Drosophila melanogaster: one gene and its partners. The gene in region 1 interacts genetically with each later gene. Each region holds a gene or a part of one and is shown on either strand. Other genes may lie near its edges.

Region 1 (4,898 bases):
ACACCTCTCGAGCGGCGTTTACCTGTGGTTCGTACTGGCGGAGTTGGTGGAGTGCCCTGAAGTGGTTTCAGAGTTCTGAGTTCTAAGATCGTTCTCAACTCGATGTTCGGCTGTCAGTTGCATGCTCTTCGATTTTGACAGATGATTCCGTACGGTTTGGGCAGTGTACCTTTTGATTGAGGTCTTCTGGCTTGGGACAGACGGCTATTAATATGTTTGATTATGGCTGCAGACCGGAGCATGGCGCTTTTACCCCATCGTGGAAATCTGTGGAAATGCTTTTCAATTTAAATGTATTTTCATGCTCTGAAACAAAGCGCCGAGCAAGACAATGCAACGCCTCTCGAGAGTCACAGCGTGGGATTCGAGATTCAAATGTGGACCGAGGAGTTAGTTGCGCTTTTCCAAGTGCACCTTTTGTATTTCTGTTATGGCAAAGTGAAAAAGGTCAAAACGCTTCGGATTTACCTGCCGAAACAGTGTCCTTTTGGCCCGATCCCGCAGAGCACATGGCGCAGGCGTAAAAACCCCGATTTCTTGTGGGCTGGGAACAGGTGAAGAAGAGGCCAACGAGATCTCGGTCTTGGATCTGCCCTAACAATGTTGACAACGCTCGTACAAAAATCTTTTTGCCAAAAGACAATCCATGGCCCACGCAGGCTCGGCTCACAGACACAGATGCAGATGCGGGCACAGTTACACACACAAACACACACAGATACAGATACAATTGCCGAGATCTTTTGTGCTTATATGGCAGCATTGCCCACACATACCCATGTATATACAGCCAGGTGAGAGAGCGGCGATCGCTTTACCTGAACGCTCTCAAATTCGCCGCAACAACAGAACCTCCAACAACAACAACAACAACAGCAGCAGTGTCAAGAAATTGGGATATACACAAGATCTTACCTGGGAACGACCTGCAATCGATGCGAATCTTAAATGCCCTGCACAGCTGTCGGAGTTAAGATGCTGTCGGATAATCCCCGCATTGGTTTTTTTGCTCTTGTCTTTGCTATTGGGCATTTTGGGGGGAGGGGAAAATCAGGACATTGTTGCTCAAGTACTTTCCTTTGTTGGAAAACTCGTCTCTGCAGTTGAAAAGGCTATTTATGGCGCCTTCTTAATCCTACCTAAACTTTGCTATCTTAAAACTGAGGTTGTTGCGTATAAATGCTTCTTAACTTTTTTAACATAAATCCCGTGTGTATATTATTTATACACGCCCTGTATATCGAGCAACATATTTTGTGCAAAAAGATTGTCCTTCTTTGGTATCCACTCTTCAAGCTTGGGATACTTAACCGCTCTGAGCCATGTACTCTATGTTAAGATTGTTAGTTGAAGTTATGTTCTGCGAACTTAAGATCTCTAGTTGGTGTTTCCGTTCATTTGAGATGGCGCTAAATTCGATTCTGTGCATTAGGGCCAACGTTTAGCATTTTCCCATGATATGTAGAGCATTTGCTGGTCTGGGGGAAGATTGCCCAATGTATCTGGCCGTATCGTTTCGTATTACGCTGACTTTTTAAAATGCTGCTGCTACGTTTACGATTACCTGTGGATTGTGGATGGAGATGGTCCGCTGGCGGTGCGAGTGGGAACGCTGCACTGAGCGAGCGAGAGGTGGCGACAGCGGTGCGCAGCTGTGCCGTAGTTGTTGCTGTATCGCTGGCTTTGCTTTTATTTTGACCTGATCTGAGCTCGAGATTTCGCCGTTCACCTTTATTTTTACCTGTGCGCGCTCTTTTCGCCGCAATCGAGAGTAAGAAACACGGCGAGAGAGTGAGAGAGAGAGACAGAGAGGGAGCAGCGCCTTTTGGCTGCGGCTTTGGCCTCAGTCTCGAATACAACTTGTTGCTGCGCGGACGCGAATCGCTCAGTACGGACGTCTTGAGCTCGAATCCTCGGCCATATCTGTGCTCTCGATCGCAGCGTTTGCTAATTCGAAGATCGTGCTAATCGAAGTACCGAGAAATCACAGTTCGCAAAACGACCAAAACCAAAGCCAAAAACGGGGTGTAAGCCAAGTGCCTTTGGCCTATACTATACTACTAAGCGTATTTTTGTGAATACCCTGCTAATTGGCAGCCGCGGCTGTGGCGGTTGTGGCTCAGTTCGAATGATGGCCAAGTGTGTGTGTTTTGTGCAAGTTAACCGCTGCGGGGGCAACACAACAATTGCTTAGGGCAATCAATTAAAGCTGAAAGCTAAGAGCTGCGCCTGCGCACGCCTCTCTAACCTCAAAAATCGTTGGCGAACTCAAAAAAGAAGCTGAAAAATACATCTGAAAAATAACAAAAATTTTATTTTTTACATACACTCATATATATATATATATATATATGAAAGCCTTCGGACGACTCTTGTGGCTCGTAATGTGAAACTGGTTCCTACACTCACGCACACACTCACTCACTGGCGCGTTCAAAAGACCCACTCGAAAACACACACTCACTCTCACGCGCATACACAGTGAAATGTAAACACCAATACAGTGGCAAATTGCAACGACAACAGCTTAAATTCAAAACAACAACAACAACAACAGCAACCGCAGCAAACGCAGTGAAAGAGTCGAAATCAAATTTATGAAAAGCTGTATTTTTGGCACGCAAAGCTGAGTGAGCAAAAAGCCGAAAGTAAACCGCAAGTTCAAGAAAAAGAAACGAATAAAAAATAACCCCTATGACGTCAGGGGTTATAGCTTGGAAGAGGGCTTGATTCATCCCACCAGTAACGCCCACAAAAAGCACCAACCACCAAACCACCCACCGCCCCGCAACAATGCTGCTGCGACGGCGCAACGGCCCCTGCCCCTTCCCCCTGCTGCTCCTGCTCCTGGCCCACTGCATTTGCATTTGGCCCGCGTCGGCGGCCCGCGATCGCTACGCCCGCCAGAACAATCGCCAGCGCCATCAGGATATAGATCGCGATCGGGATCGAGATCGATTCCTATACCGCAGCAGTTCGGCCCAAAATCGACAGAGGGGCGGGGCCAACTTCGCCCTGGGACTGGGAGCCAACGGAGTCACCATTCCCACCAGTCTGGAGGATAAGAACAAGAACGAGTTCGTCAAGGGGAAAAGTAAGTGCACCGCAAGGATCTATCCATCTTCCTCAAGCCGCCCATCATCTATCAAAATGTGTTTATGTAGATCATCTGGCTGACTGACTGGCTGCCCATATATCAAAAGAGCCAAGTCGTCCCGAATTTGGCCACCGTATCAGTTGGTCTCTAGAGTTTCCACCGTTTTCAGGTGTTTTTTTTTTTATTGTAGTTTCGTGCCAGCGATATGCTGTCGTTTATCTTATCGCTGTGATGTTTTTTTTTTATTTTTCCCCTGTACTGCACTTTAAATATAGCTTCGTTTTCGGCTGCATTTCGTATTATTTGGTCTTATCGTTACCCTGGGAATATCAATTATCGAGGGGTAGCTGCAAAGTGTGCAATATTACAAATATTTTACTAAGCTCATAGATTAAAAAACACTTGCAATAGTGTGTGAATTCGTAGTATTTTAAGTAATATAAGCTTACTTAACATTTATGTGTCTGGAATATGGACTTTGAATGATATTTCCCAATATCACGTATACGCCAGGGTATCCCCTAGTCCAGAGTGAATGCTCCCTCCATTTAATACCTGCCCTTCGCGACGGTCTCACCTGCCCTGTGGCTCACCTCTTGACTTGGCGCTGGCTTAGTCAAAGAGTCTTGTGTGCACTATCGCCCCTGTTTCGAGTTACCCCCACACCTAGCCATCAGATATCACGGCAAACATACCAGAATACCAGAACGCACTGATTAGCCAAGCACTGAGCACTGTGCTGTGCATTTCGTAATGTCAAATGTACAAGGTAAAGCGTAGTAGTTAGTTAGTGTTAAGACCGCCCGATTTTTCCACTCTGCCACTTTTCCCGCCGTCTGCGTGCCCTTTTCTGTGCATCAGCAGCAATTGCAATTGCAACAGCAAAAGCAACAGTAAGAGCAATAGGGCAACTGCAACTAGCGACACAATTTCCAGCTAAAATGGCGACTCAATTTGTTGACTCTGCAGTTCTCGAGGTTTTCTTTGTGGGCTCTTTGTTTCTTACCCGTTGGAAAATAAATTAATACACAAAATTTGGTATTCGCATATTGGAAGTTTTGGCTGCTTGGCTGGCTGGCTGTATGTTTGGGTAACCATTTGGCCACAATTTAATGAACTCCATGGCGTATCTGGCGGTGTCTGTTTGCACAGTACTTTGAGGCAAATGTTTGTATTCGGCGGGCAAACAGAAAAGTAAAAATTAAATGGGAGGCGAATAAAAGCGGGCCGTCGATACCAAGTACTCAGTGATCTTGTAGCTGCAAATTAATAACTGAATGTGCGCATTGTGCGCCAGCAACTGTGCAAATATTGATAGGAAAACGAAAACTTTGGCTACGCAGTCTATGCTAATGGGAGACGGGAGACCACCACCGCATAGCCGGATATGTGGATGTGGTATGTATGTATGTATGTATGGCTAGATAAGCGAGTTATGAAACCGATAAAGATGCCAGAACCTTAAAAAGCGATATTACCCTTTTTTTTCGCACAGACGATCGCTGCTGTCACAATGCCCTTTTCGCAGAAATTGTTCGAGTTATTTGCTCTGGCTTACTGTTTCGCTGTTTTCTTTATGACCATAAAAATAAGCACAGCTGCGGCATGTATGCAAATAAATGCTAGAGAAAAGCCTGCACGTGCATTCGAATCGAAACCGTTAAAAAAATCGTTGGGGGTAGGAAACTCGAACAACTGGCAATTGTTGTTGACGTCTTTATAGTTCAAAACGCTACACTCGCTGGCAAAAAATCACCTTTTAATTGTTCATTCAGGCAAAATTGTAGTAAAATCAATAAAA
Region 2 (4,796 bases), on another chromosome or scaffold:
AAAAAAAAAATTATTTACACATCTCCCCGACGGGGAATTGAACCCCGGTCTCCCGCGTGACAGGCGGGGATACTAACCACTATACTATCGAGGATGTTGAACTTAGGTCGCCAAATTCAAAATATAAACTTGCTGTTGATCTATACATCCGAGTGTTATGATCATAAGTTATATTAATCCGAACTAATATTATATATAAGATAAAATAAGATAAGATATGCAAAATATTCGATGCTGATTTATAACACGCTTTTTTAAATCATTTTATTAAGATGGTAGACTCACCATTTTCCACGGTCTTGCTTTTCTCGTTGTCGGCATCCTCATATCCCTCTGATCCTGGTCCAGATCCCATTTCCATGCCACTCAAAGCGGCGGCGGCCATAGCTTCGACGTCTGGCTGAACATTCGCACTGAATTCACCTACGGGGCAAACAGAAAAACGGGCAATACGAAATATAAGTAAATTGAAAAACTGTGTAACTAATTTGTAAACAAAAAAAGGGAGAGCGGGTGGGAGTCTTGGCACTTGAGTTGCTCTTCTGTGGCGCCAGGCAAATGTCAATTAATAATTTAACAACAACAATTGCCCGTTTGTCGGGCGCCTGAAATACGAGATCTTAATTGAAAATAGAAACACATAGGGGCGATGGAGAGGAAAAGGGGAGTCGCACCAACGGAGAATGGGCAACTTCAACTCTCTTCCTGCTGAAAGCGGATGAGCGTGGGCCAACTAGACAGCTAAACGTGTGTCATAAACTTGGTCAAAAGGCCGCAGAATTTAGTGCCTCTCCGCAGACGGCTGCGTTCAGAACCAGTTGCCAGCCAAGTAGTCGGAGAGGCATCTTTAAGATACTGTTTGACAGCTCGCCGAGATTACGTCTAGTTCTGTCGTCTGCACGCCACAGACTTGGAGGATGACGTTCCTCGACGGCTCAAAGCCCACGCAATGAGCGCGACTTGAAGACCAAGAAATCCCCCTTTCTCGAGATACAAAACCGAGGTGCAAAAACCCCACTGTGCAACTTTCAGTGCAAATCAGCGGAAGCGACTCAGACCCAATCTCAGCGAAAGGGGTTAGGCCTCCTGCAGGGGTTTCTGTGTGCTACACTACCCATGTTTCCCCTACACTCACTTTGCCAAAATTAATGAGCAAACTTCATACGTAATTTGATAAACAGAAAAAGTGGTTGGCGCTCATTGGGGTCTTATCAAAACATTAGTTATTATTTATGATGCGTCTCATTTCGAGAGCTGGTATAATATATGTGTGCCACTCGACGGGCAATTGAAATCTCGTACGCGTGTTGGGTGGGCGAGGAAAGTCGCTATTCCATTCCGAATCTGTCAAAATGATAAAATGAATTATGCGAGTGCAGGTCCGATAAAAAGCTGCCATTCATGGAAAATCGGCGGCAATTGCGGAGCGCGAGCAAAGGATAATCTTAATTACGACCATAGAAAGTCGTAAATTAATGGAACTCAATAAAACTTTAGCGTAACATGAGTGGTGTAAATTATGGGAAACCGCTATACACAGTAATAAAAACATTATTAATAAAAAAAAAGTTCAATGATATCGATAGGGGGTTTGCGATATTTTTTAGTTTTGCAACACTTAAGAAGCAATATAATATTTGTTAGCTGAAAGTGCCTTGCTAAAATTTGACTTTCTAACTCCTCTTAGTTTCGAATATTTTCCAGTGCAACCACGAAGTTAACCGAAGCATTGATAAAGCCCATGTCTATGGCTATCGACTATCGCTAATTGATTGAGTGCCTTGCACTTGTCGACTCGAAACCCGCAGACCAAACGACGTAATTCCCCCGACGCGTCTAATATTTTCGCCACTTTGGTGTTGTGTTGTGTTGTGCCTTACACTCTCTGGCAGTTACATAAGCCATCTATCAAAGATTGCAAATTGCTGGGTGGAAAACTCGCGGCTCTTGTGTTCGACACATTTCCAAGAACTCAAAAGCAAAACAAAACACAAACGTGACAATCCATGTGGGTGCAGCCAAAGAACTGCGACCAGGGGAACTGATTTCGTATGGGCAGAACATGGCGACAATAAGCAAAACCCAGGCACAAAGTGGAGCACGTGCAAATTGGCTATCAATCAATATGCATACGGGTAGGAAAATGTACTGCGATGATATAGTTCGCATCGCTTCAAAAGATTCGCAATTACGTAGAAATAAAAGCAAATGCCGACTGCATGGCAAACGAATTGAATGGCTCCCAGCCAAATGGCAAAAATGTTAGGCCTCTATGACACTAGGTCGAAAACATAGTAGGCTATTCTAATGTAAATTCAAACACTTCCATATAGTAACATATTTTTTAATAACATAAAATGAAGAAAATTGATGAACAGAAGCAGCGCAGTCAAAGGATGAGCTAAAGATGCCAGCTTGCAGGAACACCATGAGCAGTCAGGAGCGCACGCAGAACATCAAGCGCTAGATAATGGAGGATGAATTGACCTTGTGCGAGGTCAATACCCTTTCAATCGATTATGAGGCGGCCGGCAAATGACAGTTTAACAGCCGCCACGGAACTAGCTGATCAATCCATTATTGACGATGTTTTTGGAGAAGACATCCTGATGAAAGACTTGCAGCGTAAGAACACCGTGCAGCCCACTTGCTCAACAACGACATCGTATCTTGTCCCATTTGCTTTGAGAAAATGAAGCGCGGTACCATTATGGTGTGCTTGGAACCGCCATCGTTTACTTCAAAGGACTTGGACACCCGTTTCTCCTCCTCGGGATCTTCCACATCACGCTGCACCAAATCGAAATCAAATTCATCAAAGCGAATTCTTCGCAGCTCCGGTTACACAGAGCTGAACAGCAACTCGACTACTCTGCTGTCCAGCGAGGACGAACTTACTCCGCGTCAGCGCCTCTAGTGCAATCTCTTCAAACAGACCGTCGGCTGTCCCAGATGTGGCCTGGAGTTCAAGGGCCACCAGCTGAAGGCGCATCAATCTCTCTGCCAGGGTCGCAAGAAGCACTAGGACGGCACCTTATACGAACCATACATTAAATAAGTTTTTCACAATTTTTCACACAGTAAATTTTCTTCATGTTATCAAAAGTGTGTTACAAGCAAAATATATAAAACAACTGATTGTAAAGTCAAGGCATGCTTATGTATCTAAAATATTGCTTGTTTAAATTTCAAGTCGATTGGTGTCATAAACGCATCTCTCAGATGGTCAGTGAGTGAAAATCAATTGGGTGTGGTCTGGGTAACTGGGCTTTTCAGCGGTTTGCCTGCTCATTGAACCTTGTCCAACTACAAAATGCTTCAAGTACTGCTACATTTACTGCAAAAATGGCCTAAAAATCGCCTTTCAAGTTGCACTTACAGTGGCCCAAAGAAAAACGCGGCCAACATTGTTGCCTGAGATAAGAAAACTTGGCTGGCGAGAGGAAAAACACACAATGAATAATGAATGGCGAATGTACGCCAGATAAACCCACATTGCATTTGTTGTGGGTTCGGGTTCATATTTTCATATTCATATTAAGTGACTGATTGATTGATGGCCCAGGCAACTTGGAGGTTTACTTTCAGTTTATCGTTCGGTAAGTCACACGTTTCTTTCCAAATCGCTCGTGGTTGGGATGTCAACTTGGAGATTGATGGCAGAATGGGGAAGAAAACCCCAAGGCAATCAAAAGTGAAGTAAAATAGGAGTTACGATAGCCAAAATGGGCAATTAGCAAAGTGGGGGTGCGTTTAAAGTTGTGTTTAGCGAAAGTGAATCACATTTCCTACATGTAATACCATGTTTTTGCTGTTTTATAAGATGCTTATGCATGAAGATGGCTAAAAATAGTATGTGTCACACACATTAATTAGAGTAAAACTGTATATTTCGTAACATAAAAATGCTATCTAGAGATTAGTGCTCCCTCCTTTTCACCACCATTAGAAATCCCCTAACCCAGTCGAGATTCTGGCCAGCAAAGATGTTTTGAAACTGGGTCGTCGCCGCTGAGTGCGCGCACTCTAGTAGCAATTAAAAATTTTAAATATTCCTTCTGCTGAACAGAATTTAGCAAACTTGCATTGGCCACTCAAAAATAGATCAAAGTGAAATTTATGTTACAGATTTTGGGTTTTTTTTTTTCTGGGTGGGGAAAACCAGGCGAACGGCGGATGCGAGAGTGGGACGATAGGGCCAAAAATAAATTCCCCGATGCAGCCATTTGGAGTTGGATTCTGTCCATCAACGCGCCGAGTCCATGCTAAATGAGCTGCACCCCCCGCCAGTCCGATGCATCGGCGTGTGAACATTAGTCAAAAATGCGTAAATGAAATCAATTAAAATTACGCATAGCACACGAGACGCATTCGGAATGGAAATCGATGTGTGTTTACACATTCTGCCTACGCGCTCTGCATGGCCTAATGAAGGCACGTCCCCATGCCATACCATCCTATACCACTCCGTCCATACAATCCCATCCAATTCGATCCCCAGGGAATTGGGTATGGGGAATGGTCGAGGGTAAGGGTTGAACCCGAGTGCAATTGGTAATGGCCAACACAAGAAGAAGAGCGGCGGAGCAGGGGATCACTGAGTGCCACTTCAATTTGTTTACAACAAGTTGGCCCGCTGATTGCAGCTGGGCCTCATTTCATACACACTTTAAAAAATCAATTTTCGACTTGCATTTAACGTGCCATATGCACTTGTTTTATATGATGGAACTTCCCTACCACTTATACAATTCCATAATAATTTCTCGCAGTGCATCATTTTCTGCTTAATCATA
Region 3 (4,567 bases), 2.3 Mb from region 1:
TCATTTTAGATGTTGTATCCGTATGCAAGTCTTTTTAAAATAATATATATAATATAGAAAAGGGTTGAAACAATTTTTTGGTTTAAGGAACATAACTATTTTATTTAGTAGAACAGAATAAGTGGTTTTAGGTTAATATTTTTCACTGTGTTGGTATGCCGCACCCACATGCACATCGCGTTTTGATTTCTGCCCAGAAGGTGAGGGAAAAAGTGTCGCGAAGGGCGGAGAAAGTAAACAAACGAACCGCCCTCGAGGAGAATTTTGTCCACTTCAGCGCTTTGCACATTAATCATAGACCTATAGACGCCCCATCCGCACAAGTAAAAATCGATGCGACAAGGAATAAAAATAGAAAACGGAAAATCGAATGGGCATTTAGGAGGAGCGCAAGAGGGAAACTGATTGGCTAAAAAGGGGGCTGGAAAAGCTGCCTTCCATCCGATTAAGTTTGTTGAAAGATTAGATTGGTTTTTCACCTCGCTGAAGGAGGGTGGAAATCTTCCGGTGAACTAAGAATAGCTAGCGATTCTAAAGAGGATTCATAAAGATGAAGATATTAAGTGCTACACATAGTAGGTGAGATCCCCAATCTTAACAACGATCTGGCCACGCTGGAAAATCGCTGGTTGGGGCTTAGTCTCCGTTTTCCGACGAGAGAATCCGAGAGAATACGGAGAGACGCGCTCTGGGAGCTTCTAACGCTGGAAGACACACCTAGTTGGTAACGCTCGAATTCGGAGTCGTGTTCGAATTCAGGTTTTCGAGGGGGCTCTGATTCCGACTCATTTTGTTTTTTTTTTAGCCATGTTCATTCGCGTGCTGCCAAGTCGTTAGCCCTCCGAAACTCTCTCACTCTCCAGATTTTTGTAGTATAGTTTTCCACTCGCTGGTTGTACAGTTATTGGCATTCAGTTGGCTGGCACTCCTCGTTTGCTTTGCTCGGCTGCTTTATCTGTTTGTCTGCTGTGCAGCCAACTTCTTGGCCAGCAACAACCGGTTTTTTTTATTTCTTTCTTTTCTAATGCAAGCTCAACCTCATGTTAGCCAGTTCGTTTCCATTCCCACTTTGCATGGCCTGGCCAAGAAGACGAAGTCTACATGTTAATGTTTCTTACTATTTGGGTCAAAGCCCACACCTCCCGGAAAAGGTGGAAGAAAAAAGACTTCACGTAAACAGCGGTTTTCGAAGAACGGTTTTTTGGTTGCCAAGTCAACGCCCCAGGTTTTCCGGGGATGGTGAAAATCGTGCCGTGACTCAGTGGATGGGGGATGAGGGGACACCTAAAATATCGCCACCAGTCACCTGCCATTCATAACTGGCCTTTGTTGTGGTGGCCTTATCTTATCTTAGCCATGTTTCCTAGTGGCTGGGATAAAGACCGACGTTGTTTACCCCAGCCGATATCAAACATATGAAAAATGCCAATGCAAAAAGCGCTCAATGTTGTGATAAGAAATGTGGAAACCTGCTCGCAAACCCAATGGATTCTATTTTGGGAACAGTGACGTCTTGATGCTTGGGGAATTTAGCCGCCATATGAAACTATTATATATGCCATATGAATGCGACGAAATTCCAAAATTATATTTAAGCGAGAGAAGGAAATGAAAGGAATCGGTTTCATAAAGTGCGCAGTTCTAGGAATTTTGATTTTTCGGTTGGTAGTTGGCCTTCTTTAAAATATAAATTCAAAGTATAAATTCTACTCAATTGATATTTACACTTAAGAAGTTTTCTATTCATAATCATCATTATGAATAACCTTTTCAATTTGCGTAGAATTCAAAAGTGATTGTATGCCTTTCCACATGCGTATCTTTGAGATACATATACATACATACGTTGTAGTTTTACCGATACTGAGTAGGTTTTATAAAGATATAAAGTATTTGCCCCCTTTTTTAAAGTTCACTGCTAAACGAAACTACCTTTGAGATACATTTGTATCCGATCGGTGTTGTGGAACGTTTCCTTGACTACCGCGGGCCCAATAAGAATTTCCCACCCTGCGCCCCGAAATGCGAAGCAAACGAGGAAAACACAGAAGAAGGAAAATTGGAGTAAGGCAAAGACAGAGGCAAAATCAAAAGAGAGCTGGCGACAACAACAATGTGGGCCGAGTTGACAAAAACAAGAAGTCGAAAGAATAAGAATATCGTGCCAAAAGATACACTCGAAAAGCTTGACAGCTCACAGATACAGATACGCAGATACAAATGCCGCGTGAGTGAGTCGAGCTCTCTTTTCGCTCCCGCTCGCAAAGCTGCTCTCAATTAACTCTGCTTTCGGGTGTGTGTGTGTGTGTGTGGTGTGTGCTATGAAGTCATACTGCCCAAGTCATTCTGCGCTTGTGTTGGTATCGAAAACATAAGCCACCAAAAACTCCCGACCACAGCCCAAAAGAAAAAAACTTGAATAAAAATGTAATTAACCTATGTCGCAATCCCCAAATTGTACTCACCCTTTTAAGACGCCTCTAGAATCCTTTTTAATCCACAGCAAGGACACGCAGTTACCGTTAGTTTGGCGGTTGGCTGATTTTTACTCCTGTATTTGTGTTGTTTTCACTTTTCTCCCGTGGGCACTGCACTCACTCGCTTTCACACTAGTAAACAAATTCTTTGCCACTTTTTTCTATTCGTTCGCGAAAAAAGACAATTTGTTGTTGTCGTCGTCGTCGTCGTTGAATACCTGTTGAAAATTTGACGTTGAGTTTCTTTGAGTGAGTAATAGAGAACGCAAGAGTGGGAGTTGAAGGGGTGTGTGTGCTGTGAGGGGGGTTGGGCTCAGGGGTATAATAGAGAGCGGGGTGGGCGTGGGCGGAAAATGCGCGAATAGTGGTTGCTAATAAATTAATTTCCCATTTTATTTATAAACACACTGCTGCCGAATTGCGCGCTTTTCTTTTCTATCCGCTCGTCGCCGTTTTGCAATTACTTTGCTGCTGGCCAAACAACAAATCTTCTCACAATTCTGGCAGCGCGATCACACAAAACGTACCGTCTTCACAAATATTCGATGTGCTGTGCACGAAGAGCAAACTGGTACTGAAACCGAAAACTGAAACTGAGAGCCATCCGCTTGCCGCTGCTCGATTTGGATTTGAGTCGATTTCAGTTGAGACCACTGAGTTTTGCTGAGAAACCACCACCGAGTGGTTGCAGTGCTGGCAAATGCCGTTGGTTCATCTGAGTGCTTCGGTTTGCTTTTCAAATGTTTATAGCAATAGCGCTGTTTGATATCGCTACAAAATGTATATAAATCTATGTTTTCTTAATAAATGTATGGTCCGATTTCAATCGTTAAATTTTTTAAAAATTATATGACCTCTAATGGAAATTCGAGTGATTTTTTATCTTTTATACATTTTTGTCGCATATATCAAGGCGCTATGTATTCGACATACATTTTTAATCTGTGCCCTTTTTTGTTGCTAAATTATCGCGCCTTATTATCAATTTGTATATTTTCGACCGAATAATAAGAGATCAAAACACATTTGTAAGAATTCCAAATTTATTGCGGTTTCTCCTACATAAAATTAATGTAACTATCTATAATTGCATTCGCTGTCTTGGTTTCTTTAACAGTTCGCAAAGTCGGAAATCTACTAATCTGAATAGGATAACATCCTATCGCTTGCGATATAAGCAAGGTTTGAGAGAGAAAGCTTTCATCTTGGTGTTCTTGGGCACATGACGCATCTTCTTGAATTGGAAGAAGTAGAAATAGTTAACAGCCACATCCTTCTTGTTAAGATCGAATCCACATGCATTGAGGCAACGCACAAACTCCCGCACATCCTGGAATCGCGACTGAATCTCCGCGATATAGACAGTGCCGTGCAGCTTGAGCACTCGATTGGCCTCCAGGAAGAACTCGTTCAGATCCGTGCCCATTAGTGAGAGGCAGTATACGGCCACGTCCAGAGTTCGAGCTTGGAGTGGAGTATCCGTGATGTTGCAGGCAATGATGTCGCTACGAGCAGCGACCAAGTCCATGGAGTACACCTTGTTGGGCACGGATTGTGCCAATTTGCCCTCGCCGCAACCAAAGTCGCCAATTATGGCTGTTTTGGGAATCTTCTTGATGGTCTTGATGATGCGATTAAGCGGATTGATGGGCCACTTCTCCACCTGCTGGCGGTAGCCAGCGTGATAGGCCTCGAAGGCGGAGCTATCCTTGCGGAAAAGTGCCTCCGCCTTGCGACTGGTCGTCGAGTAGAGCTGCTCGTTGATGTATCGGAAACGTCCGCCCAGGAGTTCCGATTGCAGCTTACTGGCCAACGAGTTTGCAGCCGGCGTGGTTGAGCTGGTGGCCTCCATGGCCTCCAAAGCCGCCTGGGCCAGTTCGGGTTTCAGTTTCAGTTCTTTTTTGCCACCTTTTGTGGCCTGCGTTGGTGGTCGCTGTTTCTCTATTCTTCCGGACTTCACCTTGTGCATGGCCCGGATGCCATCCTCCACATCTTCGTAGTCATCATCCGAGGAGTCTTGGGGCGGGGCAAGAGGTCCTCTGCCCTGCCGGTAAGTGAATTTTTCAGCTGCCTTGTTCACATTCAGATTT

The links.
Region 2: of Egfr (region 1) and tkv, changing one suppresses a phenotype caused by changing the other (phenotypic suppression), as found in Drosophila melanogaster (2 studies listed by BioGRID).
Region 3: of Egfr (region 1) and cora, changing one suppresses a phenotype caused by changing the other (phenotypic suppression), as found in Drosophila melanogaster (2 studies listed by BioGRID).

The regions. Positions count from the first base shown.
Region 1 is NT_033778.4:21,544,798-21,549,695, forward strand, and holds the start of Egfr (epidermal growth factor receptor), read left to right. Parts: upstream 1-1,845; 5' UTR 1,846-2,793; coding exon 2,794-3,094; intron 3,095-4,898. UniProt on the Drosophila melanogaster protein: Receptor tyrosine kinase, binding ligands of the EGF family and activating several signaling cascades to convert extracellular cues into appropriate cellular responses. Known ligands include spitz, gurken, vein and giant-lens.
Region 2 is NT_033779.5:5,241,084-5,245,879, forward strand, and holds the start of tkv (thickveins), read right to left. Parts: upstream 3,057-4,796; 5' UTR 2,993-3,056; coding exon 2,899-2,992; exon of another isoform or gene 1,616-2,898; intron 1,538-1,615; exon of another isoform or gene 1,136-1,537; intron 424-1,135; coding exon 286-423; intron 95-285; exon of another isoform or gene 23-94; intron 1-22.
Region 3 is NT_033778.4:19,227,552-19,232,118, reverse strand, and holds the start of cora (coracle), read right to left. Parts: upstream 3,057-4,567; 5' UTR 3,005-3,056; intron 2,696-3,004; 5' UTR 2,466-2,695; intron 1-2,465. Other genes in the region: CG7137 (uncharacterized protein), read right to left, coding at 3,637-4,567. UniProt on the Drosophila melanogaster protein: An integral component of the septate junction. May play a role in cell-cell interactions that are necessary for proper development. Vital for embryonic development.